Kluyveromyces lactis: one gene and its partners. The protein of the gene in region 3 interacts with the protein of the main gene of each other region in a pairwise test. Links are inferred from orthologs where the notes say so. Each region holds a gene or a part of one and is shown on either strand. Other genes may lie near its edges. The genes, in order: ATP11, MEX67 and RAD51.

Evidence for each region.
Region 1: the proteins of RAD51 (region 3) and ATP11 interact in a two-hybrid assay, tested with the Schizosaccharomyces pombe proteins (2 studies listed by BioGRID). The link is inferred for Kluyveromyces lactis from reciprocal best matches to the Schizosaccharomyces pombe genes rad51 and atp11.
Region 2: the proteins of RAD51 (region 3) and MEX67 interact in a two-hybrid assay, tested with the Schizosaccharomyces pombe proteins (2 studies listed by BioGRID). The link is inferred for Kluyveromyces lactis from reciprocal best matches to the Schizosaccharomyces pombe genes rad51 and mex67.

What each region holds. Positions count from the first base shown.
Region 1 is NC_006041.1:652,899-655,424, forward strand, and holds ATP11 (Atp11p), read right to left. Parts: upstream 1,536-2,526; coding exon 579-1,535; downstream 1-578. Other genes in the region: prephenate dehydratase PHA2, read right to left, coding at 1-192; DAL82 (Dal82p), read left to right, coding at 1,892-2,526. UniProt on the Schizosaccharomyces pombe protein: Essential for the assembly of the mitochondrial F1-F0 complex. May interact with the alpha and/or beta subunits of F1-ATPase.
Region 2 is NC_006039.1:845,806-849,572, forward strand, and holds MEX67 (Mex67p), read right to left. Parts: upstream 2,264-3,767; coding exon 497-2,263; downstream 1-496. Other genes in the region: OSW1 (Osw1p), read right to left, coding at 1-174; protein-transporting protein SEC63, read left to right, coding at 2,836-3,767. UniProt on the Schizosaccharomyces pombe protein: Involved in the export of mRNA from the nucleus to the cytoplasm.
Region 3 is NC_006041.1:1,798,409-1,801,061, reverse strand, and holds RAD51 (recombinase RAD51), read right to left. Parts: upstream 1,732-2,653; coding exon 622-1,731; downstream 1-621. Other genes in the region: Arf family guanine nucleotide exchange factor YEL1, read left to right, coding at 2,639-2,653. UniProt on the Schizosaccharomyces pombe protein: Required both for recombination and for the repair of DNA damage caused by X-rays. Binds to single and double-stranded DNA, in the presence of magnesium, and exhibits DNA-dependent ATPase activity.

The DNA of each region.
Region 1 (2,526 bases), about 1.1 Mb from region 3:
CGTGAAAACAACTTGACCGTTGGTGGAGTTTTCGAGAGGAACTACCCCGTAGTCCATATCTATGTCTGAAATGAGCTTTTCGAAACATGCAGGGATAGATGTCACCGGTATTAGCTCCTCGTTTGGAAATTGTTGGAGTGCTGCTTGATGTGAATATGTTCCCACAGGGCCCAAGAACAATACTTTCGCCATTATAAATGTAGTAGAAGTAAAACAAGGAGATATTCCAACTTCCAGCAAACAGTGTACAATGTGCAACTACTGTCGGGGCTTTGTACTGTTTGAGCAGAACGAATTCAATCGATTCTACTCATAGGTTGGGTCATCGATGCATCCATATGCTCGTAGCACTTCTGGACCACACTTAGTCATAGTGGTGAAATTCATTTTGATGAAGTACACGTGACTAAGAAGAAAGCCATTCCAACGCATGCTGCCCAACCTCGAACCACAGCCTGCTGCTACTCAAAACCGCATGCTGTTAGCATAGATCGAGTATGATGGAATGTTTTCTTTATACAAGCGACATGTATATATATATGTATATAAATATATATAAATGTATTAGGAATCTTCCACTACTCCATAACTTGAGAAAGAGCAACTAATAGATCAACATTGAAGTTTGGAGATCCGTTGGTAAAATCCTTCAAAAGTTGGACCCTCTTTTGGGCAAACCCGGAGTCTTGTCCCATAGCACCATAGAATCTTTGAACGTTCAAAAGCAATAGTTGAGATTCTGGTAGGGAAACATTAGAATCAGATTCAACTTGGCCGTTCATCAATACAATGTTCTTTTCCTTGGCCAAATCCAAGTGGAACTGTAGAGTAGTATGAGGTCTTGCAAATTCTTTGTGCAATTTATACTCTGCTAGAGTAGTCATAATACAGTGGACGGTTTTAGGTCCTACAAATTGCCACTGAATGTAATGCATTTCCATGGCCGGTTCTTGTTTCTCTGCAGATTCAGCAGCAGTTTCTTCAACTGCACGCTCTCTTGGCAAAGGGATAACGAAGAATGGGTTTTCTTTGGCTAAGGCACTGATCTTTTCCCAGATATCGATTGGAACAACAGCGTTCAATACATTGTCCTTATTGGCCCATCTGGCTCTCCAAAGAAATTCGCATTCTTGTTTAGAGAGGTTTTTCACTTTTTCCACATCCAAAAAGCTGTCCAAAGTCTTAAACGGCTGTTTTGGCATAGATGGATCAATCGGACCACGGGACTTAGCAATGTTAGATGACATTTTGGTTCTTTGTTCGTAGTCTTCCAATTCTTTCAGTGGATCAATTCTGTTTAACTCGAGTTTCTTCTTTTCAATTTCTTCTTTCAAAGAATTCTTAAGTTCCTCAATGCTATTAAAACCTTGTTCGCGAGCCTTGTCCAAAAGCTTGTCCTTGTACTGTTGTTCTAATGAATCAGTAGAGTAACTAGAGTTTGATTGGATTGATGACGCACCAATAATACGTTTGAATTGCGTAGCAGATAGTTGCGAGGCCGATCTTTTAACAACACGGGTCCAGCTTTTTATCATGTGTCCGAAAAATTACCTGGATAGATTCACAAGTTGTGTTGATAGGTATCCTCTTTCAACTAGTGAACTTACTCTCTACAGTAACCTATTTCCAGTGAATTCTTCCGTATCTCATTAAAGTTGGTAATAGTAACTTTGTTCCAATATCACTTTTCATAACTTTTAAAGAAAAAGGTAAATTCTAATCAGCGTATACCGGTTCAGATAAGATACATGCAAGAAGAAATTGAGAGGATGAGAAATATGAGTTAGGTGTGACTTGAAACAGTATATTGTCACACTGAATTGCGGTGTGAAGTTATCACACCTTGATACTTCCCTTTTCTGCTACTTTTTAATATCGAAATCTAACCTACATGTCACACATATATTCGCATTCTAATTTGGATGAACTCTTGGTGTCTCTTTTGGGAGAATACAAGCCACATCTTCAAACACATAGCCATAGGATGAAATCATGGAACACTTTGCTCAAGGAGTTTAATAGGCGATCTGGATTAAATTACAGGCAAACTAGGACATTGAAAAGGAGGTTTGATAAGCTTTGTTCTGTTTATCTTAAATATGGTAGCGTGAAGGTAACGAATTTCGAAACCTTCAAACAGTTGGTATTTGAATTCGAGCATGAACGTCAAAAATCTGATAGTACTGCCACTGAATCAAGTAACGCTCTAAGCATGCTGGCGCGAAGATTGGCGGAGACCGGAGAACTGGTCAATTCGAACTCAGACATTGGTGACGATGATGTGTTGGAGGATGATTTGGAAGAGGAAAGGCGGTATGGCGATGAAGCTGACGTTGATAATGGACCGCAGCCTATTTCAGTACCTAGTACAGCTAACTTAGAACCAGCAGAAATAATTTTGGATGATAATGATGATGATCGAACACCTCTTGATTCCATAACGATATTACCACATACTCAAATGAACCGCCTTAGACACCAACAATTACAGGAAAGCCAGCAGCTCAGCGAAACAATACGAGATAA
Region 2 (3,767 bases), on a different chromosome or scaffold from region 3:
AATACGGTCTATTGGGATTGCAGATCTCTGATTTGTATTCCTTGAGCTCTTCTTCAACTTGTGTAGGTTCCATCGCCTTTTCAATCTTTTCAAAGTGACACAATTATGCACCTTATTAAATAACCTTCTAAATCGATTATATTTTGATTGGCGAGGTTCTGGTATCGATCTCATTTAATGTAGTTATATTGCCTTGGAATAGTGAGTTTTCAGCAAAACTGTAGTGAGCTTATAATCACAATTTGTAATTTGCTTAAGAGTTCATTGGCTAGTATAATGTTCTGAATGTTAGGCCCTTTTTTTATTGACGTACACTTTGTGACAAACAGGATATATGATAAAAAATAGTCACAGAGTCAAGTCACCTTGAATCCAACTGATATAAATAGATGGATATACTTAGTTTAATTTATTTGTGTGAGATGCAACTATATATTATACTGAATGAATTAAGATGTTCTTTTTTAAAGAAGCGCACATGATTAGCTCAATACTTTTAGATGAATGCCTCTCTGGGTAGATTGTTTGCACTGTTTCTAAATCCTTGGATAGCATTATCATAGTTCCAAAGACTTTGCTCGGCAAGCATATAAGTGTACTCAGCGTTAAGCTTTGTTTCAAGGTGTAACTTCTGAAGTAGTTCTAATTGTACAGGTGACAATTTTGCTTGCACTTCCGGTGAGAATTGCAAAGGTGTCGATCCAAGAACTCCCGGGATTTGGCCAGGAATGGATGATGTATTTGGCGGAGTTTGTGAGAGGGGCACGTTCATTTGTGGCTGATGTTGCACAGATTGAGCTTGGAGATGTGGTGGAGAAGGTGGTTTAGACCAAGCGCTATCACAGAATGGCCTTATCGTCAACGAATCAGATGCAATGATGACACTACCATTTGGACTTGGAACTAAGACCATTGTTCTATCGAAGGATTTCTGTGAAAGTTTGATGTTCGGCGTAGACGTAAATCCATGGTTGTATCTCCTTCCTCTAGAGGCAGATGATCCTTGTGATGTTTTGCTCTTGTCAATTTCAGGTTTGGCAGTTTCATCGAAATGGCCATGAAGAGTGATAACAAACCCTTGAACTTGTGGGAAGGTCCAGGCTTGCACAGAGTAAGCATCAGGTTGTTCTTGCAAAAAATGTTTTGTCATAGGGAGAGATCCGAACACTTCATAAATTGCTTCGGGCCCTATACGTAACCGTTCTTGGATGGTCTTGTCGCTAGATATCTTGGAAATGTTTCTTGAAAATGGTAAGTAATGACCGAATGTAGGAGTCGTTTGAGCATTAGGTACAGTAGCAGCTGGAACGGAAGAATCAACACTTAAGGAAAATTGAGACTGTGGAGTGTACAAACCCATCAATTGCATTCTATTCGAATCCCACAAGTTCAAGAAGTTGGTAATAAAATCTGTTGACGATGATGCCAATCCATTATCTTCGAAAAAGAACTGGGTTTGTTGTACCGGTAAGCTATAGATAGACAGTAGTTTCTGCTCGTCACGAACGACAACGTTATCTAGAATCACCAATTTGGGGAATATCCTTAACATTTCTGTACGATATAAACGATCCGATGTAATTGGATTATTCATCATCAGAAGCTCCCTCAACTCTTTGAATTTATTCTTCCAAACTTCAAGAGAATGGAATCGACTAATACTATTATTGGCGATGCATAGGTTTTTCAAATGAGGGAAAGTCTGTGCCAACGTGGTAACACCATTGACGTCTCTCAAATTATTATCAGATAGGTTGATCGATTCAACAACCATGCTAGGCTCCTTTGAAGCCACTTTCATCATAGCCGGGAACATCTTGGACTGCGTATTAACATTTTTCGGAGCCATACCGCGTTGCACCAACTCCGGATCATTGAACAAATTACCAAGATCCAACATCCTCGTTTGCACATTATATCTTCTCAAAAGCACATTACGAAGAACGGTTATCGTATCATTCGTATTAGGGTTTGTGTTCCCACCGGCTGCCTTGTGAATCTTCAATGAATTGCCTGCAAACCGGTACCCACTAAATTTCACCAATTGATCTGCCTCCTGCGGTGTCACATAACCAACTATAGTGTCCCCTTGAACCACAGAGTTTCTCACTGAGATCCTGGTCTTTCTCGAAATGAAATTCAACAAATCCTGTTGAGTAGCGTTAGTCCATCCACGAATGCTAACGCTGACTAAGTTATCCAATTGGTTTTGCTGTGCCAAAGCACCAATCTGATTCACGTTACCAAAACCACTAACTTGCATCACTCTAGTAACGCTATATCACAAGACTTTTCTCAACCAAATCGGTTAACCCGGTGAGCCTCATCTTTCAATCTCTATTCCCATCTCAATTACCAATGAGACTAGCACATTTTTTGATTATTTCTAGGTTTTTAGCATTTTTTTTTTTAATTTTATTCTTCAGTTTAGTAGAAAGAGATGATCGACCAAATCGAAACAGAAAATTCAAGGTCATGTGATATATTACGAGCACGTGACGTATAAATATCTTTTTTTTTTTTGGTCTTTCTCTTCTATTTGTTCTTCTAAGCTCTGCCGTATTGAATACGTATAGTGTTTCAAACAGAAGGAAAAAAACCCAAAGGTTTTTGGAAAATACAGACTGGCATATTAAAATCGAAATAAGTTAACTGTTAACTACTTTTCTAGATCAGAGGAATAATTGTTTGCAGTTTGAAGGCTTTTTTGTTTAATAGTACACTGTGGTTCACTTTTTTTGATTGCTGCCTGCTGTGTGTTTTATTGTAGCGGCTTAATTTATTGGCAGTCTTTTGGTTCTACAACAGACAAGCAGACGAACAGACAACGACGCCATGCCGCAGAATTATGATTACGATGAGGCAAGCACCACATGGCCATTTTTCGTACTCACGGTGTTATTTGTGGCTGTTACACCGGTAACATTGATTGAGCTGTATAGATTGATTGTTGGGGACTCCAGCGATAAGAGTTCTTCATCAGAATGGAGTCAATTGCACGAAAAATATACTTCAGAAGAAGTTCGGAAATATAGACTTGCTAATAAGAAGAAAAGGTCCAAGAAGGGAATTTACTTCATTACCGTTGGTTGGGTGCTCATTTCGATGTTGATTTATCATATTCGTTCCAACGATGCTATCTATCAGATTGCAGCAGCGGCTTTTGATCCATATGAGTTACTTGGTGTGACGCTTTCGTCTACCGATAAAGAGATCAAGTCTGCATACAGGAAATTATCTGTCAAATTCCATCCCGATAAGCTTTCCAAGGACCTAAATGAGATTGAAAGAACGGCTATGGAGGAACAGTTCGTGATGATTAACAAGGCTTATAAGGCTTTAACTGATGAAATTACGAAGGAAAATTATAGAAAGTATGGTCATCCAGATGGTCCTCAATCTACTTCTCACGGTATCGCTTTGCCCAAGTTCTTGGTGGAAGGAGGTACTTCCCCATTTGTTGTTTTTGCATATTTCATTCTACTTGCGTTTGTGTTACCCATGGTAGTTTCTAAATGGTGGAGCACTTCGCAAGAGTACACAAAACACGGTATTCATTCTGAAACAGCATCTCACTTCGTTGACAAAATGTTCAACTTCAAACCATCTTATGTTGTTGTGCCAGACTTAATCATTAAATGGATCTCTGAAGCAAAAGAATTCCAATTGAAATTCCCAGAATTGTCTTCCGTGGACATCGCTAACATTATCCATTCCCATGTTAACCGTGAAAAGACTGAAAACGAATATGCAAGGAACTATGTGCT
Region 3 (2,653 bases):
AAAATTATCAAAAAAGAGTCGTACTTAAAACCCCAAATAACAGAGTGCCTAGTGACAAGTCTAATATATCGGTAGCACGCTTCTCCGCTCTGTCCCTCCTGTTTCTTGCCAGAATATGTTCTCTCGCAAACCTTTGTTTTACAAAGTTAACGTGTTTTATATAGAAATGCAAAATTACTCTTTCTTGTCTATATGTGGAAATGGTGAAATTTCCAAAAATTTCGCTTCAGATTGTTGACGTTCGGAATTCCGGTGTGATGAGGTAAAGAATATTAAAAGAAGTCAAGCCTATTAATAGCACACTGACATGGAGAAGTGTTTGTAGCTATGATATGCAAGTCCCTTAAATGAAAGGATAGTCGTCCCTTTTCGCTGAGGGAATTATATGCGTTTTATGCGAGCATTTAACAACTAGAGAGGGTTTGCATGAATATACATATAGAATAACGTGCCCTATGGACTATTTATAACACGAATGATATGAACAAATAAATGAGAAGATAGATACGCAGTGGGGTTTTACTAGCAACGTAGGAAATTGAATGCTATATTAAAAATGTGGATTTTTCTTTTTATTCTTTTTTTTTTGGTGTTATGAATAACCAGGTAAAGAGAATCAGATCAATCATCGTCTTCCCTTGGATCTCCGATACCATCCTCGTAGATCGCAAACACACATTCTGCTTCAGGCAAACATGGTGAGTCTACCACTTTACAGTATCTCTGTGGACCTTTCCCCTTCTTGAATCCAAGACGAGTAGTGGAGGAATGAGCCATGATATTACCACCAATCGGTTTTTTTGGATCAGGGTTAAACATCATTCCTCCGTCAACTTGGGCCACAACCTGATTTGTCACTACCGCTGCGACACCAAACTGATCAGCTAGTCTTTGTAATGATCTCATGAACTTGGCAAGGTGCATCTGTCTTGCACTTAACTCACCACGTCCCGAGAAGTCGGTTCTGTACAATGCCATAATAGAATCGACAATAATCAGCGAAAATCTTGACTCACTCATCATCTGTGCAGCTGCGTCCAACAATTTCAATTGATGGTCTGCGTTATAAGCTCTTGCATATGCAACGTTATTTAAAGCATCGTCAGGGTCCAAACCGAACCTCTGCGCAATCGAAACCAACCTAATCGGTCTGAATGTACCCTCCGTATCAATGTACAAACACTTGCCTTCACCGCCTCCCATATCCAAAGGTATCTGGCATGTGACAGCCAATGTATGGCAAAGTTGCGATTTACCAGTTCTAAACTCACCAAACAGTTCAGTGATAGATCCGGTTTCTATCCCTCCGCCAAGTAGAGTATCAAGATTTTTCGATCCAGTAGTTAAACAGATCATTTCGTTTCTACGCAAATGAAAATCAGCCGCAGTGACAAAACCCATAGGCACTAGTCTCGACGCTTCAGCGAGTAACTTATCAGCTTTAGCCTCTGATATACCTTTAATCTCCATTAAATCTTTTCTGGGGGCATATGCCACCGCCTCCGCTGTGTGTAACCCACTTTCTCTTAGTTTCTTGATATCACCAGAAGTGATACCGTTCACCTGCAATTTCTCTATTGGGACAAAGGCGGCTAGAGCCACATCGTCTTCTTCAGCCATAAAATCCGTTTCCTGAATTCTTTGCTGAACATCTTCCATCTGTTCTTCGGTTCGTGAGACCATCAACTGAGAATGGCCCTGAGTAGTCTGAACTTCTTCCACCTGTGACATTTCTAATTCTGTGGAGTCAATTTAGCCTGGTTCAAGCGACCTTATAACCACTACAATACCCTTTCACAACTAGGATAGAAAACTGCTTCTCCCAAGAAAAGTGAACGTAATTGATTAATGATGTCTCATGTAATGTAATTAATAATTAAATTATATAGCCTTTTTCGTGTTTTGGTGTTTTGTTTTTTTTATTCAAATTTCAAACCAAAACAAATTAAAATGGTAAACAGTCCCTGAAGAGTGTTTATTTACATGGCACGTGACTCTTCAGTCACATGTCATATTGCGGTGGGTGGTGGATCAAGAAAGATTATCTCATCATGGTCCTCCCCATCATGACCATCACCGGAACTGAGTTCGAAAGGTTTAAGTGTAACACATGCAGTGCATTGCTTGTTCTGTCTTCCATCTTTTCTACATAGTACTGATAAATATAAAGTAGTGAGCCATATATGTTTGTAGAAAGCCATATTACTTGCAGTGTTATCATGTACAATAGATGTTGATCTTTGTCTCACTGCGTCTTTCCTTAGCGGCTTTTCTTAGCGGCTTTACTTTTATATCAGAATTAGGCAATAATATGAAAAGAAATATCGAAATTGTTGCCAAAATGAAATCTTAAAAGGAATTTTAAAATGGCCAACCGTTACATCAGGCACTATTAAACAGCGATAGATTTGATCGCCAAGTTCTCAAGAACGTCTTATTAATAAGTTCAGCCTTTCTGTCTCGGATATTTTTTTGTGGGGGAATCCTTGAATTCTTCGCTGACCGCTTGAACCTTGGCTTCTACCTTGGATAGAGAAGAATTGAAAGGTGTTTTGCGTATGTCAAAGGGCTTTAAGCAGAGGATTATACATAGTGTAGGGATAGAATCACATACAGAAAATTGCCATAATTGCCATCGATGGGTGCGTTTATA